3 linked regions of the Drosophila melanogaster genome follow. The protein of the gene in region 3 interacts with the protein of the main gene of each other region in a pairwise test. Each region holds a gene or a part of one and is shown on either strand. Other genes may lie near its edges.

Region 1 (10,811 bases), on a different chromosome or scaffold from region 3:
GCTTCGAAAGTTCGGAGTTTCCAGCCCCTTTACACCAACCATTTATTCATTAAAATGTACCATAATTATTAATTTTAACATCTGATTGTTTCGTCGCTTGTTTTTAATTCTATTAAAATAATTTATAATTATAGCCTTTGTGTTTTAATAAACTTAAACAAATTAGCAGGCAAGAAAAGTGTTTAACTAATATAATATTTAACAAAACATATCACATTGAGTAAAACTAACTTGCGCAGAAGGTGTTAAGTGCACGCATGCACTTTTGCTGCCTGCAGGGCGGTGATTTCAACAAGTGCTGGATTGGGTCTCCAATCCGACCCCCCTCCCATCAGCCCCCCTTTTCGGCCACGCCCCTTTCATAAGTGTTAAGTGTTTGGAGCTTGCGTAAAGCGCTGTCTGGAAAATGTGCTTCGAGTGGGTCGCCGGCAATTAAGTGGCAGCCGCAGTTCCTTCGGCATTGTTGTTGCAGTTGCATGAGTTATGGGTGCACTGGTTCATAAGTTGGCACCGCCAGTGGCGTCGTTTGGCCCAGGATTCCCTCCCGTTGCACTAGAAGAACGACCTTGCCCACGCCCCTGTCTACGATCGTTTATTGTTCTTGGCACACACTGCATTTGCCCCACATAGAACGATCTCGAGGCGGATCTGGATCTGGTTTTTGCTTCGGTTTTACGCACAGGTGTGTATCTGCCACGCCCCTTTCATTGCCGGCCTGTGTTGTAATTATTAAGACTTTGGCTCCGCGAATGCTCGAGCATTTACTGCGAAAATTTCTACAGCAAAATAGCCTCACGCATTTGAATGAATTTAAACGGCGGAATGGGCGAAACTTGTTGCCTGCATGGAAATAAATGCATACAAGAACCCAAAAAGGCAAGATACAAAATGCAATTTAAGTTTTTCTCACGCACACCTTGTCGCGGCTTCGGCATTAGGTAAATAGACCAAAAACAAATTTATCAGAAATTATTCAAAATAAAAACAAAAATGGTCGAAACGTTGATCGATTGGGGAAATACCCTTTGACTGGAGACAATTATGAATATTCAATATAAACAGCATAATACTTATAATAGATAATATATATTTAGATTGAAATTTCCATAAATATATTAAAAATATTAAGACAAAATAAGTTCTAATAGTGTAAATAGGTAAATATAAATATTTCATTATTGTGAACCGAATAACTCACAGAATAACTACTATCCTTGTAGAAGAATCAAAAATTTAATGAATAATTTATGTAATATTTCATTTGATGACTTTCCTAATTACGTATTAAAATCCTTATTATTCATTAGATAAAAACAATCTCTCATTTAGTTTACCACCGAAAGGGTATGGCCAAATCGCAGCCCAGGCCCACATCCGCGTTGTCTGGGGCGGGGCCAGGTGGTGCTCCGGTGGGTCCCAGGTCTCCATCGCCATCTCGATACTCGACAGGCCAGCTTTGCATGTGGCTCTCTTGGACTCGGTTTTGGGCTACGAATATGCCTATGTCTCTCGTTTGAACAAAAGTAAAAGTCTCTGGGCCGCCAGTTTGGATCCGTTCTCGTGCTGCATTTTGGCCAGGTCTGTGGGCTATAAAAGCATTTGTGCCTTAGACAGCGGCATTATTCAGCTTTGTGTTCTTGCCACGAGTTCAACTTGCAACCAAAACCAAAATGTTCAAATACGTAAGTGGAATTGATATACTCTGAAAAGTCCTTTGTTAGTATCTCATTTTTTTTTCCCCCATCAACTAGTTCGTTTTCGCCGTTTTCTGCCTGGCCAGCGCTGCTGCTGCTCCTGGCTATTTGGGCGGATTAGCTGCTCCGGCCTTGCCGCTGACTGCAGCTGCTCCGGCCATCTCCTATGGACACGCCTTGGCTGCTCCCTCGATTGCCTCTTACGGGCTGGCCCCCAGGCTTAGCTATGCCGCCCCGGCCTTGGCGCACGCTCCTCTGGCTGCTCCGGCCCTTTCCGCCTACGGATTGGGATATGGTCCCGGTCCCATTGGCCTGGCTCATGGTCCTTTGGGACTAGCTCACGCCCCTCTGGCCGCTCCCTTGGGATTGGGCTACAAGTCGGCATATCCTACTCTGGGTGCTCCTCTGGGACTGGGCTACAAGACAGCTCTTGCTGCTCCTGCCTATGGACTCGCTCATGGATGGTAAACGAGGTCCATACCACCCATCATCGTTTTCCGCATGCATTTCGTTTTGTTTGGATCGGTCAGAAATGAGATGTAAATACACAGAGAAAAAAGAGAGAGAGAGAAATCAGTGAAGGTTTTGTAAAGTGAAATCAAATTGTTAAAAAACAGATTGTGAAGAGTGGGTTTGATGTTGAAATATATTTCGATTGAATTTAAAAACTAAACTTAAAACTGTTTTATTTGATCAAGCGTTTGAGGCAATATGAAAAACGTGCTGACAATTTTCAAATATTCAGTTTCATTTTGTTTTTCAGATATTTATTTTCAGATTTCAGTATTTGGATGTTCCTTATAGCCAAAGTTTTGAAATCGTAAACGAATGTTATATATTTTGTTCAGAACATCAAAAGTGTGCTTTACTTACATTAAGTATCAAAATATATGTTTAGTATAGGCAATTAAGACAATTATAAATATGTCTCAAAGAACCGTGAGAAAAAAAGATCCAGTTTTAATAAACGGTTGACCATGATTCTAGTTTTTTGTACATTTTTTGCTTTGTCTTTATTGATTTATTGACTTGCTGAGTGACTGACTGAATAAGATTTGGGTACTGCGAAGTATATGACTTGATTGAAAACTCTCACACGCTCGTCCCGGCTCCATTTGGCTTAACTTTACTTGACTTGGGAGTACCTCTACCAACCGTGGCCATAGCCATATCCCAGTCCGTATCCCAGACCCAGACCCAGACCCAGACCGTGTCCTCCGTACAGTCCATGGCCGTAGCCTCCGAGATATCCGTGACCGAGGCCATAGCCATAGCCGCCCAAGTAGCTTTTGCCGATGATCGTCTTGGAGATGATGGGTGCATGGTAGCCCAATCCCAGACCAAGACCTCCATAGTGCCCGCCATAGCCGTGCCCGTAGAGTCCTCCGTAGTGCCCGATTCCTAGACCCAATCCCAGGCCATATCCACCGTAGCCATGACCAATTCCGATTCCAATGCTGGGTGATGGAGATGGAGCAGGAGCTGGAGACGGAGATGGTTCTGGAGCGGGTTCAGGAGCAGGAGCTGCCAGGATGGAGGTCGTCAAGCAGGCGATTGTAATGAGTAGCAGCTTTCAATGAAGAAAAGACAAATGTTATTTATATGATTTAAGTAAAAAAAATTGCTTATATTTTCTAAAGTATTTTTTATTAATAATTGTATTATCCTTTTATATCCTGGTACCACTTACTCCTTTCATCTTGCTGTAGGTAATTTTCCGGCTGCTTCTGTGGCGGCTTAACCAATTGTGTTGCTGCAGTTGATCCCAGCAGGCCTCTTTTATACCAAACCCCAGTTCAGTGGATTGCATCCCCACATGGACATCGGTGATCTAATGAGCAGTGCCACAAAGTAAATCTAATTCGCCTGACAAGTTGCCCAAGTTAGCGGCATGCCACAAAACCATCCGTAGCTGCTGTAAATAAAAAGAAAATCCAACACCTGTTTTTTTTTGCCTTTTGGGCCAGCATTGTATAATCTGCAATCGAGTTTGGCATTTACCAGTCCACAATGGTTCCAGTTCCAGTTTTTAATTTGGCCTGTGGGCATTTTAAATCTGGTGGGTGGCCTTTTCCTTCGTTTCCTTCATGTGATTCCGGTTGGATCTGATCAAGAACTAAGATCTGAACTTCGGGTCAATGGTCTGTTTATTTTTATTCAGTATAGAAAAGAAGAGAACTATATAAGTAAAAGTATAGACTCCTCCAAAAAAACGCTATATATTCGTAGGTTTAATTTAAATATATTTCAAAATCTATTTTTCACGAATCTATAACACAAGTATATATTAAGCAAAATTTGTATGTGTCAGACTGGCCACAAAAGCAACTTCGTTGTAGGGAGTGTGCTAGTATTAAAACTAAAACAACGTTTATAACCGCTTTAGCATAAAGAGCTCGAACAGCCGCTGAATAAAGTCAAACTAATCAATTCTTAACACCTCCAAAGCCACATAAAATAGCTCGAAAAACACAAGATTGGGCAATGATTAAAATTGAAAAGAGACATCAAATGGGTAAACAAAGGCAAATCCGCAGACGTGTGACCAACTAACTCATACTTCCCAAGAAAAAAAAAACAAACAAACAAAAAGCCGAGAAATGTAAGACAACAAAAGCAACCAACCAACCCAATGTGCCATAATTAAGTGCACAAAAGAGTCACTGACTCTTTGATAATCTTCGGCGTTGACGCTTTAAACTTGAACTTGAAAACGGGTTTCTTTTCGAAGAGAAGGGGACCAGAGGCCAAGTGGAGTAGTGCTCCCACTACATGGATGTTGCAACAGGTTCCTGGTAGCAAGGGAAATGCAGTTGCTGATCTCAGGGGATTGTCAACCGGTTTACCCCTCCTAACTGTTTAAAAGCGCTATGAAAATCCAGCGATGAAGACGAGCCTATAAATTGATTGGCCTTCGGCTGCATTCAGCTTAGTCCAAGTGCAGTTCTGACCACAATATCACCAGAGAATGTTCAAGGTAAACAGGATAGATACTCAGTACTCCTTTATTAGTATCTGTATCTGATAGATCTTATTTTAGCTCGTCGTGCTATTCGGCCTTTTGAGTGGTGCCTTTGCCGCCACGGTTATCTACCATCACCCGGTGATCTATCATCATCCTCTGCCGGTTGCATCAACGCCCCAGGAGTTGGCTCAGCATCCTGGCTACACCATTGTGGCACCTCTCACGAAGATTGCCCACGTCACCTACGATTCGGTGCCCATTTCGCACACGCCCTACGAACATGTTCCTCTCTTCCAGAGGATTGGTCATGTCAAAAACATTAGGTTCTAGCGATGTATACCCTAGAAAAACATAGTTTAACTTATAAATAAAAACAAATAATAATAATAATCATTCTTTTAATCATTACGTTTAACATTGCTGCTATCACTGATGAATGATTCTATAAAACTTACCTAAAAATCCGTAAAAAATATAGAAACCGTTTATATGGTTTTAGAAGGTATTATATATTATCCGCTAATGATGTTCGACTTTTAAGAGCAGTATTAATTTGAAATATGATTTTGGATGGTATAATCCAAGGCAGCTATAATAGGAAATACTACTGAGAGGCTACCAAGTAAACTTCCTCAAAGAAACACGTTTGTAAATTTGATTAATGGATAATTGTTTATTCGCCAAGCATTGCTGCTCTCTAGGAGATGAAGATTTGGGCTAGTTTCTACAATCTAATAGGACGGATGGGAGTGTATGAGCTGGGTGATCCTACAGCTAAGTCCTTAGAAGAAGTATGGGGCGGGAGCGAACTTGGGGGCCACAGCCAGAGGCGCTGGGACTGGAGCAGCCAGGGGAGCGGCGAAGGGTCCGAATCCGAACTTGGCTGGTGCGGCGAAGGCAACAGGCGCCGGAGCAGGGGCGAAGCCCAGAGGAGCAGCCACCGGAGCGGGAGCGGCGAAGGCAACCTTGGCGGGAGCAGCAAAGGCCACCGGAGCAGGAGCAGCAGCCACTGGCAGAGGAGCAGGAGCGGCAAAGGCCACTGGAGCGGGAGCAGCAACTGGAACGGGCAGGGGAGCGGGAAGGGGAGCAGCGAAGGCCACTGGAGCTGGAGCAGGAGCCACTGGGTATGCCACGGCGTGGTTGATGCGGTGGGCATTGAAGCTGGAGGCATATGGAGCCACCACTCCGGCGGTAGCCACAGGAGCAGCCAGGGGAGCTGCGAAGGCAGGAGCAAGTGGAGCAGCCAGTGGAGCCGGAGCATGGAAAGGAAGGAGACCAGCCTGAGCAGAGGCCACGCAGAGGGCAACGAGCTGTAAATGAAGGTATATATCTATAATCCACTTCGATAGATCCGGACATCCTTTGCAACTCACCACAATCTTGGCGAACATTTTGGGGATTGGGTATGATTTGCTAGGTGTGATTAGCTTGAAGGCAGACTGAACTGTGATATCCAATTGTCCACTGGGTAACGCTTTTATAATTCTGTAGCCCACGGAATATCCATGGACGCGCATACGAAAACACCTTGGAAGACTTTCTATATTGGGAGCTGATGAAGGGCGTTGCTGGATCGGTGCGATATATGTACATATGTACTTAATAATCAATCGGTAGCCTCTTACGTCGATCGCCCCCGAAAACTTTCATAATTGCACGCAATTCCCGACCATAACCTAGGTTAATATTGGGCAAGATTTCGTTTGGGTTTCGGTCGGGTTTATGACAGTTGGGGCTTTTCGAATATTTTCGGTGGGTGGTGCTTTTGTAATGAGCTGCAATTATTTACCCAGAGTACGTGTTACTTGGCTCAATCATTTAATTGAATTACCACTTTTTTTCGTCCACCCGCTTTTTGTTTATTGTTGCAACAATTGTCGCGTGTTTGGGCCGGGTTTGTGTCTGGAATTTCTGATTTGATTTCATGTTGCGTGCAGTTCGAAATCCACTAACAACATTTCTGTGCCCCACTTGTGAGTGTGTGTGTGTGTGTGTTGCCAATAGTTTGTGTGTGTGTGTGTTGGCCGAATAAATGAAACCCCATTTGGCGACATTACGAGGCGTCTGGTTCGTAATGAGAGTCTGAATCAGATAGCGAATATGTTTCCTTTTGCTAATTTTTTGGTGTGCCTATGATTTTATCAACCGCAGTTACATTCTCTGGGATTTCTATTTTTGGAAATAATTGGTAAGAATGTGCGGGAATACTGAATATATTTTCATATATTTTGCTTAAGAACGCAATGATTGAATTCTAAGGTTAACAGAGCCTTAAATTGAGTATAAATGTAATTTGATTTATAATTCATTTTATTTGACTATATTTATTCGATATATTATTGTATAATGCATGAATTTTATTTGTTTCGTTTTTTATTTCACTATATTTATTCGATAAATTATTGTATAATGCAGGTAGACTTGTAGATTTAAGCTTTACATATCCTATCTGACACTAATTACTCTTTGGTGAGGTTTTCATCATCCGTAAGGTCGGGATGATCACCACAGCGAGTGGTGATGGTGATGAGCGAACTTCAGGGGCAGGGCTTTCAGATGGGCGTGGGGCGTGGCCAGCAGCTTGGGAAAGGCGTAGCCAATGGACACGCGGTGGGTGGTGGTCTTCGGTCCGGGAATGGCACGGTAGGTGGGTGCAAAGGGCACCGCCTCCAGGACGGGCGGCAGCACTTGATGGGTGACACTGGGCACATGGAACTCGGGCAAAAGAGGAGTAGGAGCTGGCAGAAAAGCTGGAGCTGGTAGAAGTGGTGCAGGTGCTGGTAGAAGTGGTGCAGGAGCGGGCAGAAGAGGAGCAGGAGCCGGTAAAAATGGTGCAAGAGCAGGTAAGAGAGGCGCTGGAGCAAATACAGGTTGTGGTGGAGCAAATGCTGGTGGTGGAGCCACCGCAGGAAGCAAAGGAGCTGGCGGAGGAAGGACCGATTCCTGCACCGCGTAATCCAAGTGGTGCGGCAGAGCATGCAGAGAATCCAAGTGGCTCAGATGATGTCCGTCAAAGTGGTTGACATGGTGGGGATCGAAGTGATTGTAGTGAAGATGAGAGGGCTTTGCCTCACCACCCACCAGCAGGAAAGCCAATGCAAAGGCCTAAAAATATTTAGGTTACCTATTAATATCTTTGGTCAAAAGAACTTTGCAGTCCTTACCCATGTCAGTTGCCACATCTTGCTTGGGGGATTTGAAGTTCGGTTTCTTTGGGGCAGTAGCTTCTCGATCGATGTGCTCGACCTGTTGGTTCGGCTGCTAATGTCTTTGCATTGTCAAATTAAATTAATATTTATAGCGAATTGAAGGCGGTACGCAATCAAAAGACTTGCACTTGCATTTCTTCACTTTCGACGACGACTTGGCCCACTCACCTAACTTAATGGGTTGCATCATTTGGAGGGAGGCAACCCAATCCCATTTAGTTGGTCAGCAAGTCGTGACTGAGACGGCGACTGCGAATGGCACTGCCTTCGATCGAGGGGCCAATAACTTCTTGGGCGATTCGAAAGCACGGCCCATGATTATATAACATGGGGCCAACCAAGCCCAGGCATTGACAGTTGCCCATGAGTGGAATATGATTATGATAATCCATAAATATTGCTTTGACCATAAATAACAATCGATATTGCGCCTTAGGTGACAACGCAATCACAACAAATATTGTTTACATGGTGACCAAGTTGTCTGACTTTAACTTCCCTAAGTCCCTAACTTATGTATGTTGCTACTTTGTCAATATTATCTTTAAAATTCAATGCAGCTGTTAGAAAAAATTCCATTAAAAATTAAATGCAGACCTATAATTTATGCATAATTTGTATTAAATGATATCCACCAATAAACAAGCTTATTTTGCATATCAAAGAAATGAGTGAGAAACGAGAAATTCAGAGCATTAAATGGAAAGTTCTAAAGTTTCTAAAAAAAAATTAAATAACTTCCTCTATCTGAAATCTGGAAATATATGGATGCTTAATAAAACCACTTGCACAAAAGGAATCATCTAATCAAAAATTGATCATAGTTAAGTAAAGAAGTTATTTTATATTTTCTTAAGAAATATATATATATTGACCCAATCGAAATGAGCGTCCAATTGAATTTTCATGAACCAAAAATATCCGATAAATAATAGTACTTTCGTTTTTCGTTAATTATTCAAGGCATTTCTGCAAATAATAAGATGGTGCGCTCTAATTGTTGGTTCGTAATTTATTATCAGTTTTTTTTTTTGTTTATCAAAAATTTCCTATAGTTTGGCCTGCTTCACAGGTGTGTCCTTAGACCACCACTGGAGCTGGAGCAGCAGCGGCGATGGGAGCAGCATAGGATGCAGCGTAGGGAGCGGCGTAGGGAGATGCCAGGTAGGGTGCAGCGTAGGGCGAGGCATAGGGATAGGCGGAGTAGGCAGCGGCGGCATAGGGAGCAGCGGCCAGAGGAGCAGCAACGGGAGCAGCGGCCAGAGGAGCAGCGACGGGAGCAGCCAGAGGAGCAGAGTAGGCGGCGGCCAGAGGAGCAGCAGCGTACTTGGCCACCACGGCGGGGGCAGCTGGGATTCCGGACACATAGCGGCTGGAGTAGGGGCCGGCGAACTCGAACGGAGCGGTGGTGTAGGAGGACAGGGTGCCGTCGTAGTTGTTGCGGACATCCACCTGGCTGCTGCCACCTGCGGCGTACAGAGGAGCATTAGCGTAGGCCAGGGGAGCAGCCAGAGGAGCAGCCAGTGGAGCTACAACTCCTGGTTTGGCCGCAGAGCAGGCGATGAGGGCAGCGAGAACCAACTGGAAAATAGGATAGGTAATCATTAACCACCTCTTAGTCCACATTGTTTGGGCGCTAATCCCCATAGGATCACTTACAAACTTGTACATATTGCTGTGGTTGGGTTTGTCTAAAGCACTTGAGCGATAATGTTCATTTGGAGCCAGACCAGTGGCTTATATAGCTCGTGCCCATATCCGTGCTCTTTGGGGGACATTCTGTCTGAGCCGATTTTTGGTCGCTTCTTCATTAGCTGGCCCACCTGGTCGAGTGCCAAGTAGCATACATGATCGCCATTTGGCCAAGACGTGCTCCGCCTTCAATTGCCCAATGGACTGTCGGAAGTTGTCCAAGTTGTCGCTTGAATATTTCGGTTGCACTTGGAAAAATATTTGAGCTTTGGTAAATATTATAAGAAAAGATATGATATAATTCTGATTTCAATGTATAAATATTTTATTTAAAATTTTTAACCTTAACTATTTAGTGCAGTGTATTTACATGCAGAGGTAAACTTTTTGTATAGCATACCAAGTTATAGTCTTTATAAAAATTTTTCCAAGTGCAGTGATCGACATTTGTATGCAATTGAAGACTGACTCGGTGGCCGGGCTGTCTTGTCGTAATTTGCAGTCTGTTTGGGCCATCAATGTGCGCCGCTTCGCATTGAATTGGCCGCAATCTAAGTCAAATTGGCCATAAAAATGGTACCCCTTCCTCAAAGGCCACGATTCCGGCCCACTAAGTGTCTCATTAGTTCACTTTTTAATGGCTTGCAGAGACGCCAATAAAAGGCGGTCGTAAATTTCCCTCTCATCCTAGCCGACGGGTCTTCATTTGTTTTCGTGTTGACCTGACCTTGACGCCACCTGGCCACAGGATGTGATGCACCCTCATCCTCATCCAGTGGGTCTCATCAATTCGCTTCAGCTTAATTGGCCAACAAGGCGCGGGGCCGAATGATCGAGCAGTCGAAACCTGCTTGCTAGCTGACTTAATGAGCCATCTCTCTCGGTCTCTCTCGGTCACGTGCTGGCCTGGTCAGCAGCATCGTCGTCATCTGATGGCTTGGTGTCTGCGATTTGCATTGTTTTACTCTTTATGATCGGGTACTTTTGCTACTTATGAATGTTTGTAAATTAGCATATTTTAGTGTCAATGACTTGGTAGAACAACCCATTAGGAGCATGATTTCAAAGAGCGAGTTTATGAAAAATCGAAGTTTTTCTGTAGTACAGTCACAAAATATTATACTCATACCGCTTACTAACAAATCGTATAGAGTATCTAAATGGTCGTTATTTTATAGCTGCTTCTGAAATCCGATACGATGATGACGCCGGTCTCAAGGTTGTCGCGATGACGAGTCGAGAGGGCGATAT
Region 2 (11,348 bases), on a different chromosome or scaffold from region 3:
TTTTTCAAATGCAGACACATGCACTAACTGCCGACAAGGCGAACCGACTTTTTCGACTGCCTGGAGTTGTTCGGAAGCTTCTGCTGTCGGCTCACAAAATGGTCAAACAGAAGTCTTTCGAAGCGAAAAGCTGCTAATAATAGAAAACTCAAAGCGAAGAGGGCAGGGGGTCCACGAATGGCAGACGCCGCGGCGACACTTAAAGCACGGTACCATCGGCTTTGAACGGTTATGTCCGAGAATATTCTAATTTCGCAATGGGCTTTTATCTCAAACACACATGAAAATGCCCATGCCAGAGACCAGAGAACCTACTTATCACCGACTTTCCGACAACACGAAAGCAAACTTTTGTTTATGACAGAGAAACGTTCACAAATCTAGGGATATCAGAAATGTACCAAAATATTTTATCGATATCTTTCGACACGCGCAGCATAAATCGTCGTTGACTGTTTACAAAGAAGTGTTTCTTTCAACAAGAGTTTCTATCAGCAAAAATGGAGCAAATAAATAGATAGATCAGTGCAGAAATAAACTTAAAACCTAAATTTCTAGTACTTGACATTCTGAAAATTTGTTGGTCATGTCGGATATCGAGTTAATATTCATTTTACTTAAACGGCGATATTGCTTAGCAAGGACTTCAACCCACACCGGCGCGGTAGGAACGGCTGACTGCATTATTTTCACAAATGGACGACCAGACTAAGTAATAAAAACTAAAATATGCGTCTAACTTTATTCACGTATTCCAGTGTATATGGGTATCGTCACCGACAAATCGCTTTAATGTATGGCAAGGACACAAGAGAGCGCATAATTTGTAAATTTTTCGCAAACAAAATTAAACCAAAATCAATTCTCGTGTCAGTCACATAGCGGCGCTCTGATTTATGTAAAGATAAGTATTAAATCATTTACTTGATTTATTCTTGATTTAATGTTATACAATTCATAATCATCAAAATTTTTATTGTTTTTATTTGTTTTAAAACATTGACCAAAGGCGATGTTTCAAGTGCCTTGCCGAATAAAGATGTTAAATTCGGTCACTCCATATTTTTCTATGCTTTTCCGCTCAGCCAGCTGCACTTGGATGTTGTGGGGGATCGGGTGGTGGTGCTTTACAACTTGTCCAAGTACTGGGATAGATCGGGCAATCCTTCCTTAAGACCCTTGCGCTTACGAGTATCCTGGACGATGGCATAGGGCTTGCTTGAGGGCTCGCTCGGATCGCCAGGCAACACCTGCCAATGATCGAAGACACATTGAGGGAAGGCCTGTCCTCCGGTATTAGAGCGCAGATCGGCGGTAAAACCGAATGACTCGTTGACGGGCAGGTATGCCTTCACAACGAACATGGGAGTGCCCACAACCTGGTTTTCCTCGAATACATGGCCACGTCGCCTGTTGAGCACACCGTATATTCCTCCTACAGCAACCTCGGGGCACTGGATCTCGCACAGGTAAACAGGCTCCATCAGGCGCGGCTTGGCGGTTATAGCGGCAGCGTACAGACAACGACGAGTGGTTGGAATGATCTGGCCACCACCACGATGGATGGCATCAGCGTGAAGTGTCACATCGTAGATGTTGAAGCGGACACCGCGCAAGTTTTCGTCGGCTAAAATACCCTCCTTTGAGGCCCATTGGAATCCAGCGACAACAGAGTCCTTGATTTCGTTAAGGTACTGCACGGACTTGGTACAGTCGAGGATGAAATTCGGACCGGTTCCGTCGGGGCCGAAGCACCAGATCTTACGGGCCTCAGTCACATCGTAGTCGTACTTCTCAGACAAATAACGGGCACGAGCCTTGAACTCATCCTTGGCACTCACATCGCCGTTATCAATGTCCTCGGGAAGACCGTCTGGCATAGGTAGGGCTTTCATCAGCAGACGGTTGTGCTTGTTGGGCGACTTGGACAGACACATCTGGTCGGACTCCTCCGACACAGTCTCACGGTAGGAGACGACGGGATCAGACTTCTTCAGTGGGATACAAGCGTGGTCTTCCTCTAGATCCTTAAGGCAGATCTCCAAATGCAGCTCACCGGCACCAGCAATGATATGCTCGCCGGACTCTTCGATGATACACTGCACCATAGGATCGGACTTAGCCAAACGCTTCAAGCCCTCCACCAGCTTAGGCAAGTCCGCGGGGTTCTTTGGCTCAACAGCCACGCGCACCACAGGGGACACGGAGAACTTCATGACCTAAAAACGAAAAAATTTTAAAAGTCAATAATAAATTTGTATGCTGCTTAAAAAAAGAAGAAAATGAAAAACGCTGCAAACCTTCATGTTGTGGGCGTCCTTGAAGGTGGTAATCGTACCGGTCTTAACCAAGAACTGATCAACACCGACCAGACCGCAAATGTTGCCAGAGGGCACATCCTCGATGGCCTCGACGTAACGACCCATCATGAGAATTGTGCGCTGAATAGCCTTCTCATATAAGTCCTCCTTCTTGCCGGGAGTGTAGTTGGGGCCCATGATTCGGCACTTTTGCCCGGTGGCCACCTTACCGGCGAACACACGACCGAAAGCATAGAAGCGACCCTTGTCAGAGGTCGGTACCATCTTAGAAATGTACATCATTAGAGGACCATCAGGATCGCAAGACTTAACGGCGATAGCGGCCTCATCGTCATGGGGACCTTCGTACAGCATCTCCATGCGGTACTTCTGGGCAACCACTGGCGACGGCAAATGAATAGCAATCATCTGAAGTAAAGCCTCGCCGGCTGGCAGCCAGGTGCGCATCACAGTCTTCAGCAGAGCTTTGCCATCTTTGTCCTTGTCTTCATGCTTCAGAGTCACACCGATTTTCTCGAGCAAGGTACCTATCTCCTCCTTCTTGTAATTCATAATGGCATCGAACACCTTGTAGATGGGGTCCAGGATGTACATGCAGAACGAGCGTTTGTTGTCAGCCTCTTTCTGTTTCTGCCATTTCTTGGTCTTGGCGTTAAAGAAGTTTTCACCCCACAATCTGTGAAGAAGTTGAACGATTAATTGTGCCTTCAGATATTTCTTATTAACTACTTATCACTTAATGAAATGCTTAATGACCAGTTCAAATCGCTTATTTAAAAAAATAATTAATATTATTTTTCTGGAAATTTTGTATAATACAAAATGATTCATTTCAGCCAATAAATTTGTTGCAAATTTGATTTATAAATTTTAAGTCTTAGATATCAAAAATGACGTCCGAATATATCGATTTGTATAATATGAGGCCAAACAACAATTGATTTCAGATATATGAAGAAATTATGTGAACAATAAAAGATTTCTGTATACAATTTAAAAATAATTAGTGTAAGGTAACTGCCTTAACATGACTCGTTTGAACATTAGGAAAGCGGTCCCGAGTCAGCGTTTAAACAGCATCCGAAAGTTTATTCTTCTTCTATTTAAGGTCCACTTGTGGCGCCGTCAGCACGAGAGACTCTAAAAGGACTTTCCTTGCGGAGATGTCTTTCAAGAAGCCGCCCGCTAAGCGCCACACGTTTTGTGGTAGAAGTTTGAAAACATTTACAAACAAACTTGAGACATGACTCACCGGTTCATTAGCTTGACAACATCAATCTTGAATTTCTCGGAGTACATCTCAGAGAACTGCTTGAGGGTGAACGCCCAGCCGTGAAGCCCAGAACCGAAGCCCACTGATCCCTTAGAGGGATCCACGCGAACCTCACCCATCGGTCCTCCGTCATCGTTATAGGTGGCAATGATAACGTTTACGTTCTCGACGATGCGCTGGAAGGTCTGGTACAGCTCCTCGGCATCTAGTTGCAGCTCAAGCAGAGCGCGGTCCATTTTGTTCATGAATAGGATGGGCTTAATACGCTCAGCGATGGCCTGACGCAGCACGGTTTCGGTCTGGACACAAACTCCGGAGACGCAGTCTACAACAACGAGTGCACCGTCGGTTACACGAAGGGCGGCGGTCACCTCCGAGGAGAAGTCAACGTGACCGGGCGAGTCGATCAAGTTGATCAGGAAACCCTTGCACTCCTTCTCGCGCTGATCGGGGTGGGTAATGAACACCAGATCCTTTTCCTCCACCTCAAAGTACATGGAAATGGCACTGCAATAATGAAAGGCGGATTAAAAAAGCCGTGGGTGCTGGAACATGACTGGTCTTACGTCGACTTGATGGTAATGCAGCGCTCCTGCTCGTCCTTGCGGGTGTCAGTGAAACGAGTCTCACCAGCCTTGGCTCCGGCAATGATACCAGCCTTCGACACAAGGGAATCGGTCAGAGTGGACTTGCCGTGGTCTACGTGGGCAATCACAGACATGTTGCGGATGTTCCGCTTCTTGTCCATGAGGCCACGGATCTCGTCGACGGTGAAGTTGACCTGTAAAATAAATAAGGCATCGTTATGTACATATTATAACGAGTTTCCACTCGATCTATACACAGTGCTGATTTAAAAATGGCGTCCATACACACACTAAGTCTTCACAGTCGTGCAAAGGTCTTTGAGGTTAGATAAGAACTAAAAACCACAAATCACTCACTCGCGAGTATGGGCATCGATAAATATAGCAATATACATCTATTCCTTGGGTATTTCACAACAAGCACCAAACAGGATCACATTCTAGCCAAATTTCAATAGAAAATTGCATACGTCATTCCTAGTCTTTGTCTTGCATTTCACCATAATGCACACACACACAACAAGCAAACGTGAAAATATGTGGACACATCATTTCACCAAGTAATGGTTGAGACATCTGCACTTTTTGCACTGGGCATTAAAGATATTAATGCAGGTCGCCTCTAGGCCTTTTCTGTAGATATGGGGCTATTATTTCTGACTTTGGGCACCTACCATTTTGGATGTATGGAGATTTTCTCGCGGACCAAAAAAACACTACGCCTTTCAACGGCGTTTCGACAGGAAAGAGCGAGGCGCTGCAGCGACCATAGAGCTGGGACAATTCTTGATATTTTCGATAGTCGGAACCAGTAGTTGATCGATAGTAGTTCACGTGACAGATTCATCAGATAGTTATTTTGCATGTTTACTTTATAGTTTTTAAACTTTTATTTTACAGAATGACGTTTTCGTAATTTTCCACGTAATTTTCCGCGTCGAAATCGTGGTTGTTTATATAGCCATAAATAAATATTGCTAAGCACTATTATTAATTTACATACATCCGCTTAAATTTCTTCTAAATTATTTTTCTTAAAAATAATCTAATCTATATATATATATTTCTTTATCGCTTAAACTATCTTATGAAAAATAAACTTTAAGTGAAAGCTAGTTATATTCTCATTTGCTCATAGATGCCGAGCCTTTAAAGTTAACGACTTATGATAGTTTCGATCAAACGGCATTTCGAAATTCTACGCACGCAGTAATATTTAAAGTATAGCAAGCGAGAACGCTATCGTCGATTTTTACGACTATTAGATACCCATTACATAGCTAATGCGATTCTCTAGGAAAATATTTAAAAATTTTGTTGGCGTTGCGGTAGGAATTAAAAAAAGGTTTGAATTGTGGGCTTGAAAACTTATTGAGGTTTGTAGGTGTAAGAGTGGGTCACGCCACGGCATATCGACAGAAATTTGGCAGACAAATAATAAAACGAAAAAAATCAAGAGATCCGAAAGTCAAATTTTCCGACAAGAAGTTTCAAAATTTGTAAAAAATGCGGTGGAAGGTCATGGCGTAAGTGTTTTTGGTATTCATTATACCCGCTACTCGTAGAGTATAAGGATATCGTTTGTTCGTTGAATGGTATGTAACAGGCAGAAGGAAGCGTTTCCAACCATATTGCTCAGGATCAATAGCCGAGTCGATCTAGCCATGTCCATGTGTCCGCCTATCCGTATGAACGTTGAGATCTCAGGAGCTATAAAAACTAGAAGGCTGAGATGCCCACTCTAACGCCCTAAAACCGCACCATTAACCATTTTTCCAAATTTGTTCATAATTTTATTAGTCTTGTAAATTTCTATCGATTTGCCAACAACAAGATAATTATTTTATAAATTATGAAATATGGCGTTCGCATTCACACTAGATAAGTAATGGGTGTTTGATACTCAGGGAACTCTACTATAGCGTTCTCTCTTCTCTCCTTTTGCTCTAGCGTCACTTGAAACTTTCGAATTAGACGGCCTCATGTCACCTCTGAGTTCAGGTTCGTATCATTGATAAAGCAGCCTTGGAAACTCTACTCTACTGTACCCTATTCTCCACTTGCGATCCCGCTTATATCAGATATTTTATTTTTTCTAAAAAACGTGGAAAACTAACCAGGAACTAGAGATATTGGTCAATTGAAAGGAGGACAACAGTTGAATATTTTCAACCCGGGGAAGACAGAACGCCTAATTGGTATATTTTGAATAAAACTTTTTAATTAAACCATAGCCAAACACCTTTCCGCCCAAAATAATGCTTTGTTTACATACACGTACCATGTTGTCTCTCTTTTGACAAACGTTTTGATATTTGTTGATTTTTGTATTCGTTTTGTAAATTTCCATAAATTTTTAAAAATTAAACCACGTACATATTTGCCCACCGGTGCCCACGCATCAAATATAGAAATGGTTCGTGAAGCTGCTTCAAACTGTAGAATAGCTCTCTTGCTGAATTTAACAGCTTTCGGGAAAGAAAAGAGCTTTTTCTTTTTCTCATTATTGTGTTCCACATTAAAAAAAAATCACTCAAACAATACCCCTCACCACCTAGAACTCACCTCACTTACCCCTCACCAACCAGAACTCACCTCACTCGAATTCAAAAACTCACTCGTTCCAATGTTGCTGCAGCATTGTTGCTCGCATTTTGAGTCAAGCTCGTTCTAATGTTTCGGCAGCATTGTTGCTGCGCGAAGACGGCCGGCAAATGAAAATGATGACGACGCGGGCGAACAGTTTTCAAGTGATTTTCCGAGCTCGCGGGCTGTGCTAACGGTAAAGGAAAATTCAGTGATTGGGGACTTTCACGTTGCACAGTTGATGTATTGCTTTGTGCGCGACGGTGTTGTTGTAGTGCGAAAGCAACAAATATTCAAAAAGATTCAGTTAAATTACGTGATTAAGTGGTCTAGGATTATCCACTTAAAACCGTTTGCAAATATTATCAGTCACCTTTTGCTCAAAAAATGTAAAGTTAAACGTTTACCGACCAATTTGAGCCGAAATATTTAAAGTATACTTTATGTTGTGTTTTCGACAAAGTGAAAAATTATAATACTAGAAATTTACAAAATATGTGAAATGATATATATGATCGAAATAATATAATTTCAATAATAAAAAATTAACTTATGCTGACAAAAATTATATGTTTTATTTCTTTTCTTTACTTAGAACATACATTTTAATTACTCAATAAAATGTAACATTTAATATGAAACCAAAAGTAATATAAACAAAGCTCTATAAAAAACGACAGGCAAACCAACTATTATATAAATCATAATTAGAAACTACAACGCAGAAAAAGGAGCAATAAGCCTAAAATACTCTTAAACCGTCAAATGCATCATTTTGGAAAAGCATGTTCCATCGTTTTTGTCGCACGAAAAGTTAAAACGATACTTATTGTCCAACGAGTGGCAATTGCGTCAATCTAAATTTTAATTTAGTTTGAGTGTGGAAGCTTCCGATAAACTTGAAAATGGATCTTGGATTTTTATTAGATGAGCGAGTCAAGCCATTTAATTTCTGATTGCCGTAAGTCTGACAACTTTACTTGTCTACATACAAAAATCCTACTAAACTTTTAATTTTTATTCAGTTTTCTTATAACTTGCATGGTTTGTGAAGCATAGGTCGGTAGACCCACTTGATTAAGCTTCTATATTGTAAAGACTTGAGTTGAGAGAAAAACTGCCGAACGAAGTGCTTTTAAAAATGCAATATTTCTTTTGGGTCCTAAAGACTAAAATTAAGAGTTATCGAAAGCAAGGATCGTTATGCTAGATTTTACATTATTATCCCAACCCCCATTAGTAATTGAACTCAATCCATGTACGAAGTCCGATAACATCCAACAAAAGTATAGGAAACTTTATATGTGTACCGTCGAAGAGTGCATATTTTAGGTTTCGGACAAAATCCCAATAAAGATTTAATAAGAATACGAAATGCCCGGTCCCAATGTATTTTTGTAAAGCACACAATGAGACACAAAAGCTTAATAGGCCCAATCCGAACTCGGCACACGGGAACCAAGCAATGTACATAAGTGTTCACATATGTCGACAGTTCCTTAATAAACGGCAAATGCATAAAAAGGTTCCGACGACTCACACAATGTCGTCGTGCTTTTTAAGTAAATTGTAAAACATCCAAGAACAATTTTTGTTGAGCGTGGGGTGCTAAAACAAGTGTGAATAAGGTAATGCGGAAAAAGTTTGCAAAAAGTCAGCGACAGTGTAAAGTGCCGAACAGACTGTCGGTTGTATGGTTCGGGTGCATAAAAAACCAAGGTATGAATGAAAATTCAGCCAATGTGGAAAACGTCTTGACCGGGGGATGTTCATATGATTCTGCCGTCAAGTCCTGCCCGTACCCGTACCCGTGTGGTCACTTCACCCAGAACTTTTTTTTAACATCTTTATCAATTTGAGAAGGGCTTGGCAGGTGGAATTGGAAGGACTCAAAGCTTTCTATCAGAAGGTTCAAAGTGACAAAGCGAGTTTTAATGAGTATAACAATTTAACTACAAGAAGAATTCTGCTATACTCAACTTCAAGTATACAAGCAGATGTAGATTAATAAATTGAAAACAAGAAAGAATACTATAGTAGAGTTCCTCGACAATCAGATAACCGTTACTCAGCTAGTGTGAATGCGTACGCGAAATTTCTGGGATATCGGGGAATAAAATGAGAAAAAATTTACAATTTCTTCAAAAGTATGGGCGTGACCGGCTTAGCGGTTTTAGGACGTTACAGTGGGTGTGTTTTTTGCAAATTGATAAAAATTTACAAAACTAATAGAAATGTGAAAAATATCAACAATTTTTTTTAAAGTGCGGGTGTGGCAGTTTTGTGCTATTTCTGGACGTTAGAGTGGGAGTGGAAACATGAGCAAACAAACTTGGGCAGCGTCTTTGTCTCTGGAATCCGTATGCTTAATCTAAACCTTCAAGATTTTATAGTTCCTGAGATTTCGATATTCATACGGACAGATTTTCTCTCTTGCTTTTTTTTCGTTAAATTCTTGCTTCCAAACTGTCAGCACCATTTTGCTAGAAAGCAGGAGGTATTATAACCCGAATGAACACATTATATTTTGTACGTTGGTCCATTCGGCTGTACCATCGCGAAACAATCTTGCTGCTGAAGATACAGGGTGCGGCAACATAACTTCCTTTTTTTAAAATGCACGCTATTCAGTTAATTGATGTCATAGCGGAGCGATAGTGGTCCCATTCAAGAGGGGTTACTGCAAAGTTTTTCCCGCACGGCGGGAAGCACAGCGTGCATTTCGGTATCGCTTTAATTTAGCTCCGTTGGCTCACGTCCCAGACCGCAAATCAATTGTTTCATGGGTCACTACATTCAGGCAAACTGCAAGTGCGACAAAACGATGAACTGGAATCCCTCGACCCGTTAGATCGCCTAAGAACATTGAAGCAGTACGAGCGTCAATATTGCAATCCCCACGGCGTTCTGCGTCCAAACACGGATCTGCCTTTGGACTATCCGATCGTTCTGTGAGAAGAATTCTTCATGATGATCTTCATTTTCATCCGTATAAGATGGCGATAGTGCAGGAACTTTCAGAACGTAACTTATTTTGACGGAACACTTTCCAGAGCGCTTTATCTCATAAATATTTTCCGATGCCTAAAATAGTATTCAATGAGTTCTGAAGAAATAATATTATGCTGCCGCACCCTGTATAAGTGTTGAAGCTTATTTCGGTCATGATACTTGCAGCATCTGCTGTCTTCGGTGTGGGTCCATTGCAATTGGAGAGTGCCTGTGGAGTGACAAATCCCTATACGTCACTCAAGGAGCGAGGATGTGAAAAAGACTGGGTACGGCTAGGCTCCAGATATCGGCGACTGTGAATTGATCTATTTTTTGGTAGTCGATCTAGCTTTTAGTTAGAAAATCTGATTAAAAAACAAATAAAACTGTATCGCTTGATTATAGAATTATAGAAATCTGGCTTTTATTGGATTTATGGGTCAAATGACTAACAACTGTTTACAAATTGACCTTTGAAATTGTGTTCGGGTGCCTTTACTTTAAATAACTCACAAAATATTTAGTAGCAAGTAATAATTTATAGCGAATCACATGCACTTATTATTTATATTGCATATGTCATTAATAGTTACATCTAGAAGGCGTTGCTAGCTGAAACCAAAAAGTTTTGGCTGTTAGTGAAAAGTTACTGCTATCTTTTTGCTCTGTAAAAAGCGTGTCTTGTGTCGTATTTCTGTCGTTAGGCAAACATTATTACCTATATAAACTCATATATGTACATGCATATGTGCTTTGAATCGAAAAAGAAACTTCTTCATTTTTTATTGTCTAACCTTATTTTGACTTTCACGTGTCCCCCGTTGATGCTTGCTTATTGAATTTATAGTTCTCACATGGTTGTTCTCTAAACGAACATACGTACCCTCTACAGGGACTGCAAACTGCAATGCGGCGAGCAGAGATTGTCACAGTTTATAATTAATGGGAATTAACAACGGAAGCATATGATAAAAGCAATTACAGTTGAAGCGGTTATCGCACAGGAGAATATCCTTCAACATCGTTTTCTTCTCAGGCTTCCGAAAAAAGCCCAGAAATATTTGAATTATTTGAGTTTAAATTTTTATAATTATTGTTGTAATTATAACAGTTACTCGTTGAGTAAAAGGGCAACCGGGCATCGTTGAAAAGTATGTATCAGGTCAAATGAAGCGTTTCCGACCCTATATAGTATATATCTTTCTAATCATCATCAAAAGTCTAGTCGATCTAGCCATGTTTGTAAATCCATACGTCAAGTTTTTCCCCCTTACATTAGTTGTAATATCCAACATTCAAAAGGGATTTAAAGTAAGTCCAGCCGAGTCCATCAATGAAATGTACCTCATGTTGGAGCTTATTTAATTCTTGTTTAGATTAGAAGGTGTCGTTTTACTTAATAATTATTTAAGGCCGTTTTCGGGATAGGGCCTTGGGATTATGTTAACAAATTTGACCAGCAAAAAATGTGTATATATTTAGTGATGTACATGTCTATATTTTGAAATAATTGTACTTATACTTTGTTGCAGAAGAAAACATGATTACGAGACAAAAATGTCGGTGAACATGAACTGGACGTCTCCAAAA
Region 3 (11,348 bases):
CTGGCGCCAGAAATTACGGATCTCCGCATCTGTAATCTGAATGAGATTTACCGCATTGAGAATGCTACCCGGTTCGTGTTCGTACATCTTTTTGTGCATCTTGGAGGTGAACAGATTCATGGCGTGCAGGCAGAGGGCCGGTTCCATGACCAGATAGTGATTGTGACATCTCTTGGCCGCCACCTCGCTCTTGGGTAGAAATGTATCCCCTGTCGACCTATGCTCCTTTTCATCCGGTTGGCCACCCGCCGCGCCCTGCAGCCGATTTGGCTTTTGATCCTTCATGAACACCTCGGCACACTTGCGTGGACTCAATCCCTGCGGCTGGCAATTCGGACAGTAGGTGTACGGCATGAAAACCTTGGTCAGTTCCTTGACATCCCGCAGATGACGAATTCGCAGCGCCGCAAATATATTGTCGATGCGTACCAGGCATTTTTCCTCCTCGGAATACGGTTCAAGAATCTTTAGCAGACGCTCCTCGATGAGGAAACCGCCGCGATCGGACAGCTTGCGAATAAGATTACGCATCAAGCGTAGTGAATCCGGCGGAAGCTCCTTGATATCCGGCTTGCAATTTACGCCCGAGTTGGGCATCACCCTGTTCTTGGGAACCCGGCCAATTCGCATGTCAAACTTCTCCAGAATGTTATTGCGCTTTTTCTTCGCCTTGTTGATGTTTGGAATGGGTGGCACGGGGCTGGACCACGGCATGGCCAACTGCTGCTCGTGTATGATGCGATCGATGTGGTAGACCCGATCCACCAGCAGGTTCAGTTCCTTGTAGTTGATCTCCCAGATGCGATCGAACTTTTCGCGATTGTTCAGCCTCGCCTGATGCGCCTTCGACTCCATATCGTTGATGTTGGAGTGCAGCTTGTAGATGTCCGAGGAAAGACGGGCTATGTTCCGCTTGCCCGTGTTGTAAAGATTCTTCAGGCCACGCCGGGTGCGTCCGATCGCCTCATGCAGTCGGGCCACCCGTCGCTTCTGCTGGTTGTTAATGATCACGTTCTCCTCGTTGCGCTTCTGGAGAACCTGATAGTTGTAGTCCAGCTTCTCGGAGTTCATCAGCACATTGTCGCGCGTGCGACGTAGCTCCAGCTCGAGCCTCTCGCACTCCTTCTCCAGCCGAATGCGAGTGCTCTTGGTCAGCTCCTCCTGGGACTCGTTGATCTGCTGGGTTTGGCGAGCATAGAATTGCTCGCGTGCCCTTACCAAATTGGCCTTCTCGTCAAAGTTGGCATTCATCGCATCGAAGAAGGTGCGCCACTTCTCCACCGCATTATCGGCGAAGATTTGACGCTCCTCCTCGATGGTTTGCCGCAGCATTTGGATGTGCTCCTTGTAGGCCTCCTTAAGCGTCTCCACCTGGTGATCAACGCGCTCCACCAGACAACAAAGATCCTGGGCCTGCCGCTCGCGATCGAACTCGTACTTGGCATTCATGCGGTCCACCTCCGCTTGGCAGGCAGATATCATCTCATCCTTGCGTGCCATAATCTCGGCAATGCGTTTCTTTTGCTCTTCGATTTGGTCCCACAACAGCATCGGCTCATTGGTCTCCTCCAGCTCCGTCCAGCGCGCCTTAATGTTCTCGAAACGGGCCATTGTCTCAACGCTTTCGCGTTGCAGCTTCACATGCATCTGATTCTTCTGCGCACCCTCGAAGAGTCGGCGATTCAGCTCCCTTCGCTCGTTGGCCACCCGGACATTGGTCACTAGTTCTTTGCCAAAGCGCACCAGTTCGTTCAATCGCTCACTGGACAACTCCAGCCGTTGATCAATCGGCGACTTCTGGGCCTGGCAACGTTCGGCGACGCCTTTCGGGGCCTCGCGGAACTGCTGACGCACCCGGTTGAGTATCGCCAGCCGGCGTTCGTCCAACTTCTTCACCGACTTGTCGCATCGCTCGTTAAAGATCAGGCCATCGATGCGGTCATTAAAGGACTCCCAACTGTCCACTGGTCCCAGATCGGGCTCCACCTCCTCCTCCTCCTCGACACTGCCGTCGCTGACCAGCTCCTGGTGCTCCTCCAGCTCATCCTCGTTGTCGTCCATTGTTTAAAATATATGCCAGGTCGAGATTTGGATGAGAATCGCTTTGTTGTGCGGAATTTCTGAAGGCAACTCTGCTCCAAATCAAGGTGGTTTGTTGTGTGACTGGAGAAGTTTGATCGAAGGATCCCGGGTTCCCTTGGTTTCGTGGTCATTGCCCATTTCGCCTACTTTTCCGGTAGAAACAAAAATGTTGTCTTTACGTTTGTTTACTTCTGTTGTCAGTGGTGCCCGCCCCATTAGTGTTGCAAAACAAGAGAAGTGCAGGCTTAAGCAAATATACATGATCTTTTTTTTTAATAAAAAGTGTCTCATGACTGCTTTACCATATTTTGTCAATAATAATTAACAATAAATCATTGAATAATACGTATTTAATACATAAAAGTCTATTTAGTTTTGAAATTAGTTCATCTCCACCCGAAATAATCGTTATCGAAATGGAGCAATAAGTGCTGTAGCTAAAGTTATTTCCTTCTCACTTCCTCCTGCTGTATAGCCCGTGCTGACGTCACCGGGGCCTTGCTAAATGCAAAATGAGTGGAAAATTCCATTGCCAAAACCGCAATGACCCCTTGGTACAACCAAAAGGCGCGATGTTTGACCCCTTGGTTGCAATCAACAGTCCGAACTTGATGCCCTTTAAAATACAGCCCTGCGGATTTGTACACACTGGGTTGCATTCGACCAAAAAACTTGGTACTGCCATTCAAAAACAAAGTCAAGCGAATGAATTCTTTACATGATAGTATTTAATTGCGACCTATATATGTACAAAATTTGCGCGGAGTTGCGGCACTCAGTTATCCTCAGTCTTCAAGGTGATTTCATATATCAGCTCGTCGTTGTAGTCCTGCCCTCGGCCATGATGCTGCTGATGCTGCTGGTGATGCTGTTGGACAGCGTTAAAGTACTGATCCTCGGTTAGCAGCTCATCTAAATCCTCACCGCCATCCTCTGCGTCCACTGCGTTCTCCACCAGCAGGTGCTGGTCATCGTAATCCGATAGCTGCACATACTGTTGCTCGCTCTCGTCCAAATATTGGCGATTGGACGGCGAACCCTGCTCCTCTGGTTGATTGTCCTCAACCAACAGGCCGTCATCCTCGTCGTACTCCTCCTGCAGTGGGCCCATGCCGTCGTAATCGTCGTCCTGGCCATTCATATTGCGACCGGAAATGGATTCCGAATCGGATCCTTCACGATTCCCATCCGCATTCACAAAGCGACGCGTATTGCTACGGCACTGAATCGAACGCTTGTGGGCATCGAAGTAGCTGATGTCGGTGAACTCCTCCTGGCACAAATGGCACACGTATGTGCCCTGGCTCAGATGCATCTCCTTACGATGACGGGCCATCTTGTGAGCATCGCGACACTGCATGCCACAGAATGGGCATTTGAGCATCCGCCGCTTGCCCATGTGAACATTGCGGATGTGCTCCTGCAGAGAGAAATTCTTGTAGTAGGCCTTCTGGCAGTACTCGCACTGGAATCGCCGCTTCTTCTCGTGCGTCGCCTCGCGATGCCGCTTCAGCTGGGTATTCTGGGCGAACGTCTTGCCGCACACTTCGCAAATATGCTCCTTCTCCAGATGTCGGCGCTGATTGTGCACGCGCAGATCCTGCTTGGTCGAAAAGTATAGGGTGCACAGTTCGCAGACGTATGGACGGATGCCCATGTGGCGCCGCGCATGTCCGGCCAGGTACTTGCAGTCGCGATACGTTTCCGTGCAGTAAATGCAAGCATAGCGATTGGTGCCAGGCACCAGATGGGTCTTGTGGTGCTTGGACAGCTTTGATTTGTGCATCACATCTGGGCAAATGCCGCACTCCACCGGCAGCTTCTCGTCCATGATGTCGCTGATCATGGAGAACTCCACAAGGGGTGTGCTATCCTCGTCAAAGTCCACAATGGTGGCTATCAGGTCGTCGAAAAGCATGTAGCGACGCGGTCCCTTGAACTCCTCCAGCATCTTTTCGCTTGGCTTCACCTCCTTCACGCTACCATCATCGTCGTCGTTGTTTTTTTGGCTGACAAAGCTACGTAAGGCGATCTGGCGGGCAGAATTTCTAGCTTTGCTAGCGGGCTGGACAACAGGCGACGGCGGCCTTGGTGGCGATGGTGGCAGCGAGGGTGACGACGGTGGATACATATCCAGATCCTCTTCCACCCTTTCGTTATCGCGCGGATGGCCGTAGCTAGGTTCGTGCTCGTAGTCGCCGTAGTCGCCATAGTCCGCCTCCTGTTCCATCTCCGGTTCCACCTCCACCAAATCCCCCACTTCGCTCATATCCAATTCCCTGACCACAAATTGCGGCATCTGTTCGTCATCCGTCAAATCCTTCACCCGGGAGCCCACTATAAAGTCGCGCAGCTCCTTGCTCATCAGCATCTCCTTCTCCACGCCGTTCTCATTGACGATGATGATGTCCTCTTCGAACTCGTTGCCCAGGTTGTCCAGAAGCACGTAGGTGGCATCATCGCTAGTGTTAATCACACGAACGTTTCCACGGTTGTCTTCGTCCGAGTAATCGCTATTGGCCGGCAGGACGAATTCGATTACCTCGTTCGCAAGGCAGCGTTTGTGGCTCATCCTGGTCACATCAACTGAATTAATTAATTAATTCGCACGACTGCCGAAAAAAAACGTAAAAAGTTGCAAGTGTGACCAGTCGCAGGTTGCTGGCCGAAACTAACTATCGGATACCAGGTATCGATGCAATTTTCAACAAAATACTCGCTTTGTAGAAATGCTTGCTTCCTTCCGCTTTCATACATCGACTCACTCTGCGTAGATCATAGATCATGAAAATCCAACATTTTGAGCTGTAAATGCCACTCGATTTGAAACTTTATTACAAATTCAACGAGGTATGACATTCCATATATCGACCAATATTAATTTTGTTTCGATCAAATAACTGCTACTTTTTGAAAAGAAAAACGAAAATTCGAGAAATGCGAATACATCTATTCGAATTTCGATCATTGCCTGTGTGAAACGTGTATTTTCTTTACTAAAATATATATAATAAATAAATTAAATATTGTGCCGATGAATAGATCGCAAAATATCGATACATGCGCATTATCGATAACGCGCAATTTGAATAGGTGCTTGCGCGCCAAAAAAAAACATCGCTGGGCATGCGCGACGTCGGCCAACGTCTTTTGCCGCTTTTGGCCCCTTCCCTCATTGTTGTTGTTGCTGTACTGACTGTTTTGCGGTCTGCGCTCGCGACTAACTTGGCTAACTTCTGGACTCGGAATTGGCCCGGTGCATTGCATCTGCACACTCGGTGGCGCGCGCTTGTCTTCTTGAGACTTCTTCAATCCAAAACGGGCGTGTTTCGCGATCTCATCCACTTGTTCAATAGCAGTTAGTGTTTTGTTTTTTTTTTTACGGTGTTTACTGTTTCTGTTCGTTGAGAGCGTGCGAAGTGCGCGCATGCGTAGTAGCTGATAATTAACCAATTTGAAAATTGCGGTTCTTCTGCTTTTTTTCGCAATTCAAATTGACCGCATAATTGCGCAAGGAATGTGATTTTTTTTACTGTTTATAATATAAGTGTTATAGAAAAAGAGAAGAAGCTCAACGCGAAATCTTAAAGAATGCTAAAATTGGGATGATGAAAGGATATTAAATTCGTTCTAAAAGGTAAGAATAATATCAGTTATACATAAAAAAAAAAAACTATGTCAAGTTACAGTAAAAACAAATGGTTAAAAAAATATCACACTTAGATTTAAAGAACTTATCTGTGCGATTTAGAATAAGGACCAACTGAAAGGATCGTATAAGTTTATTGACAAAAAAACATCTATACAATTGTAACCACACATGTTATATTGAATAATATCTCAGTATATTAATTTGTAAGATTAAGGACTAAGGACATAAGCCCTATGATTTTGAAATAACTCAAAACGAGTGAAGGGCACCGTCACTTCGAAAGATACAAATACATACATACTTGTATATTTAGTTTTTAAGTAGAGTCCAAGTTATATTGTTAATTGGGCTGATTACAATGCCCAGTCAAGTTAATAAGAGATGGGAATCACAAATACAAATAGAGAGCACAATAAGCGAATAACCAACCATACTAGCTGCCAGCTAGTAACATCACAAAATAGGATTACGCAAAGTTGCAAACGCATTATGTTGATGTTGATTTAAGCTTCGGTGTTTGCCTTTATCGCATCTATTTATTTATTTATTTGTTCGCCGTGCTGCAACATCTTTAGCCCGGTAGCCCCATGGCTCCATAGCTCCATTGCTTTATAGACTCCATCCAATCAAACAAATATGGGACAAACTTGACCCGCTTTCGTCGCGGATTTGGCATCACATCGCATCGCATGGCATCGAAAATGGGCAGGGAAGGGCTACCCCAGATTGGCCTCTCGTTTATTTGGCCATTAAAAATTACATAAAGTGACAGCGTTGTGCCCCTTTCCCTTTTTCTATTAGCCCTACAATTGATTAAAATCATCAATATTGCTAGCTATACCTTTAAATAGTTATTTAACAATTGAAGTACAAAATTTCCAGTTTAGTTAACCCATTTAAACACGAAAGCCCAGCAGCAACAAGTACACACCATGCCCCCCCCCCCCCCCCCGTAATTACTTGACCCAAAATCATCGCTATGCTATGTATGCAACTAATGCATTTCCATTTCGCAGACAAGATTCTCGAACTTGGACTGGGAGTAGGCCAATTAAGAGTTAGCCACGCGGCCGCACGAACAGGTGTCGTCGCTTCCAACACAGCAACATCTAGTGACAGCAGCAGCAACATCCAAAGACAGCAGCAACAAGTGGCATCATTATCGTTTTGCGGTTTTGATCATCGGCGGGGCGGTTTGCCGTTGCCACTGGTAGAAAACGGGAAATCGGAAACATGTTCTCCTCCAGCGCCTCGGCCGCGTCCACATCCTTCAATCTCGGCCAGCTGCTGCCATTGGCCATCGCCATCGGAGTGTTGCATCTGCCGCAGTTTCTGTGTCATGCTGCCTGGACAACCAGAACGCCGGAAAGTTTCATTAACGATACGACCACCACCACCACCACCACCACCACCACCACAACCAAGACCATGCAAATCCAGGCGATGCAGGTGAACTGCAGCCGGGAGCTGCTCGAGATGCATCTGGAGTTGAGCCGTCCCTTTCGCGGATTACTCTACGCCAAGGACTTTCCGCTGGAGTGTCGCGCACGTGGCAAGGACTCGACGCGTCTGCATCTGCGCATCCCAACATCGGGTTGCGGAGTGAGGGCAGAGCCACTGGAGGACGGCAGTCTGGAGTATACGGTGCGTGTGATGCTGCAAAAGGAGCAGAAGTTGCGCCAGAGCACCGACATCCTTAGCTCGGTGAGATGCCAACTTCCGGCCAATGCGATGGGCATGCCACTTCCGGTGTTGCGACAGGAAAAGGGTCACGATAGGTAATTCTACAAATGCTTTAGTTAATGTAACAAGATGGAGAAGTTCTTTTATGATTCGATATATATATATATATATATGTAGAAATGCCAGGATGCGAGCCTTGGCAGCTGCTGCTGCAGTTCCAGCTCTCGGCGCCACTTCGTCCATCAATCAACAGCAGCGGGAGACGCCACGCGTTAGGATCTGGTTAGAATTGGGCGGTCCCAATGGCACCGGATCCGTGGAGGTGGGCGTCGCCACCACGCTGACGGTGAGAGCCATCGTGCCCGGAAACATCGGAGTGCGGGTGGTGGACTGTGCGGCACTCGATGGACTGGGCGAATCCACGCAGCAATTACTCGATGCCCGCGGCTGTCCCATCGACGAGCAGGTGAGTGAAGCGATCAGCTGAAGCTATCTATCTATATGCATATGCATATATATATGGACGTATCTGGTGGATCGTTCATTTGCGTAACAGGTGCCGGCGGCGCGACATTCTACGCCAGACCAGACCGTTAGAAACTTAACTTGGATGCGACGAGACGAACGGAAAGTCATTAATTAGCCACGATCTCGATGCTGTGGGGCGATCTGCGATTGATCGCATTTAACTTTCATTTTTATGTGCGACATCTAGAGGGTATCAATCTAGAGGGTATATCGGGCCAATCGATGGGAAAAACAAGTGGGAAAAACAATCCATTCACAAAGTTCGCTTAAGTTCATCTGCCAAATGATTTAAGCTGCCAGAACTAAAGTATTTCCAAAATTTTAAAAAGAAATATCATAAAATAGTTTTCAGTCGCATCAACTTCACATACCCTGTAAATTTCTATGGGTTGCGTTTTAGAAACGTTTTAAGTGCATTTTGAAGACGACGAAAATGTAAAACAAAAGCAATTTGATTTTCGATTCTTTGCCACTGATTTCTTGATTGCTGCGAAAGGGAAATCCAAATAGATGGGACAACCTATTGATTGGAAGTCTTTCTTGGGATATTTTGCCGCCAAACAAAAAAAGATACATTATCAAAACTAAGCCTGGCTCATTAAGTGTAACAGTTATTACAGCACCGACCATAAATGTGAGGCAAACGGCAGCAAAACCGAAACTGTTAGCCATAATTACGCGATCATCGTTAGAACAGTTTTCGTTGCCCAGCCAACCAGGCCCAAAAGAACTTAACTCAACTCGACTCGACTCGACTCGAATCCACTGAGATTGGCCCAAACGATTAGGTAAAGTGGGAAAATGGGAAAAATGCGAAGAACAAGCAAAGTGTTCTAGGGGTTCCCTCGACTCTCCAGCGCCTCAAATCTCAGGTTCTTCTTGAGTAAATTAGGAGGTCACAACAATTAGCCAACAGTGAAATACATAGAAATATTTATCGTTTAGCATTTTGACATGCCCCTGTTGCGGTTGCCACATCTTCCTTTACCCGCCGCCACCTAACCATTTAGTCGCTGCACAGTGGAACTTACAGCGAATAAAAGTGATACTAGGAAGTGTGGGTTCAATTCGAATTATTCGTGTTTGCTCGAAAAAATGCATATGCCACATTTTAATATCATTTAATAGTAAATATGTGAGAAATACCTTTTTATATACAAGATTTTGTTATATGTTTTTATGTATGTATATCCTACAAGCAGTTAATCAGATTTTTTTCTTTTTTAAGCTAATTAATAATAATAATTTAATTTTATAATTTAAAATTATCAAACAAGTAATTTATTTAGTAAATTATGCAAATATTCCTTGAAGCTATGATGCACATATTTGTGCATGCTGCTCTGCGACGATTGGGCCCACTGTGCGACAGTGGCCAATGCCATTGCCAGGCATTTGCATTTCGGTCGCCGGCCGTCGCAGCTTTGTGCACATGTCATTCATCCATTCACGACCAGGCGGCCTTAAATGGGTCAAACAAATCTCCGGCTGACGGCTTTGCTACTTCTTTGTGTTGTTGGTGGTCAGGGCAGCGCTAGAAAAATCACACGGCTTAATTTCTGTTTTATTTTAACGGAACGGGCTAGAAGACACATAGTATATATTTATATGTGCATACATACATGCAAACAAACATGCAAACATACATACAAACCCACGAAGAAAACCATTTGCATTTTATGTTTGTTTTATTGTTCAGCTCTTGGCGGCTGTCTTCCGTTTTAGCACATTTCATTTTCTTTCGCGTTGGTTTATTGTTTTATTTTTCTGTGCCTTTTTTTTTCTACTTTTTTTCTTTTCATCTATTATTTTGCTCTTTACCTCTTCATCAAGTCGCTCCAGTGCGATTGCAAATTTATGCGCGCACCCATCACAGGTTGATTTGTTTGGTTAAGAAACACTTCTGGGTCAGAGCGTGGAGGAAAAGTGAAATAAAAACCGCGTCTTTTGTCTGCAAACGGCGCCGATGATGGTGACCCACATTTCGCCATGGAAGCTCTAGAACATGACCCACTGTGCAGGTGGCGTACCGTTAAAAGGGTGAAGAAACCTAAACTATAGTTACTGATCCCACACAAGGTTATCTATTTGCATGAAACTACCATCCATTGCATCTATCGATTAACCCTGAATCCTGTCGATTATTTCGATTAATCCATTTAAGTGTTGGCAATCACCGCGTTATCCCTGTCTTCTTTTTCACGGGAGGAAGCATTTGGCTGTTGTTACATTTGCATTCGTACAATCTTTCTGCACGTGAACTCATTTGAACTTCCGCAACAATTTGCTTTTTCTCGTTATTGTCTCGGATTTCGCATTCACATCCACCCGCACATTGAAAAAACACGTGCTTGGGCGTGTAAATTGAAACTGTGGTACGCCATCTAAGCCAATCAACGTGCCTTGGATGCAATACTACGATTCGCACATACCCTCTTTGGATATATGTACTATAATCAACTTATATCAATCTTGAACTCTCAGCAGCTATCAAAGATCAGATGCAAATAGTATCTGTAGATATTCCATTTATTCGTATGTTTGTATCATATCAGTTAGGGTATTTTCGCATTCGTTTTTCCGGCTTGAACCCTTTTTTGCTTTAGTTACCACCAACAATGGCGAGATGTAAATCGCAGCGTCTTGTAATTCCATACATCTGTTTCCAGCGATCGCACATGCATCATACCATTCACATGTAGCATCCATATCCACAATGTGCACCACTTGCAACTTGCGACTCGGGCGTTGTTGTCATTGAACTTGGCTTGGCCACCTTTTGCTCGCTGGTTTCTTGGTACTAACTATGGCACCATATTACATATATACGTAACGGAAGCGACCGTGTTTTGTCAACCCGAATTATTGTATAACAGGCGATAAAAAAAAAAAGTAGAGAGGGCCATGAAAAGCGCACAACTGGTTGGAGTTCAGGTTCAGGGACAGTGGTGACCATAAACGGAGACAGGTTCATATTCCCAGATTCAATCGCAAATGTGACATAACAAATGGGGTGGTTCCATAAGTTCTCAGTTCGCTGGAGTTCTTAAAGTTACCATCTCATTAGGTTCTTTCTTAAACACATTATAATACAAAACATAAGTGCACCAAGTAATGAGAACCTTTAGCAGTCCACTTTCTTGAGCAAACGAAACCGAAAACCACCCAAACTGGGTTTAGCCACTTAGAAAAAAAAAAAACAACCTTGTTCGCCATGCATCCATCGCCTATGAATCTATTAATTTTCCGCCATGGTCAGGTAATGCCCGCTCTGCACACCCAGCACCGACCGGCGGAGGAGGGTTGGTCCAAGCAGCACGAGGAAGACCTGGTCGAGCGGACGTTCGCGGCCACGTTTCCCGCCTTCAAGTTCCCGGACCGCGAGCGCCTACACGTCAGCTGT

The links.
Region 1: the proteins of CG2116 (region 3) and CG13049 interact in a two-hybrid assay, tested with the Drosophila melanogaster proteins (one large-scale study listed by BioGRID).
Region 2: the proteins of CG2116 (region 3) and eEF2 interact in a two-hybrid assay, tested with the Drosophila melanogaster proteins (one large-scale study listed by BioGRID).

What each region holds. Positions count from the first base shown.
Region 1 is NT_037436.4:16,275,817-16,286,627, forward strand, and holds CG13049 (uncharacterized protein), read right to left. Parts: upstream 6,115-10,811; 5' UTR 6,051-6,114; coding exon 6,033-6,050; intron 5,970-6,032; coding exon 5,442-5,969; 3' UTR 5,316-5,441; downstream 1-5,315. Other genes in the region: CG13065 (uncharacterized protein), read left to right, coding at 1,671-1,682, 1,752-2,162; CG13050 (uncharacterized protein), read right to left, coding at 2,842-3,264, 3,385-3,393; CG13064 (uncharacterized protein), read left to right, coding at 4,663-4,671, 4,735-4,989; CG13048 (uncharacterized protein), read right to left, coding at 7,162-7,764, 7,824-7,841; CG13047 (uncharacterized protein), read right to left, coding at 8,949-9,449, 9,528-9,539.
Region 2 is NT_033779.5:21,677,184-21,688,531, forward strand, and holds eEF2 (eukaryotic translation elongation factor 2), read right to left. Parts: upstream 4,934-11,348; 5' UTR 4,859-4,933; coding exon 4,856-4,858; intron 4,376-4,855; coding exon 4,161-4,375; intron 4,102-4,160; coding exon 3,574-4,101; intron 3,518-3,573; exon of another isoform or gene 3,487-3,517; intron 2,998-3,486; coding exon 2,301-2,997; intron 2,220-2,300; coding exon 1,128-2,219; 3' UTR 730-1,127; downstream 1-729. Other genes in the region: nolo (no long nerve cord), read left to right, coding at 11,316-11,348. UniProt on the Drosophila melanogaster protein: Catalyzes the GTP-dependent ribosomal translocation step during translation elongation.
Region 3 is NC_004354.4:8,123,225-8,134,572, reverse strand, and holds CG2116 (uncharacterized protein), read right to left. Parts: upstream 4,762-11,348; 5' UTR 4,655-4,761; coding exon 2,858-4,654; 3' UTR 2,790-2,857; downstream 1-2,789. Other genes in the region: CG10958 (uncharacterized protein), read right to left, coding at 1-2,061; cyr (cypher), read left to right, coding at 6,968-7,512, 7,595-7,883, 11,205-11,348.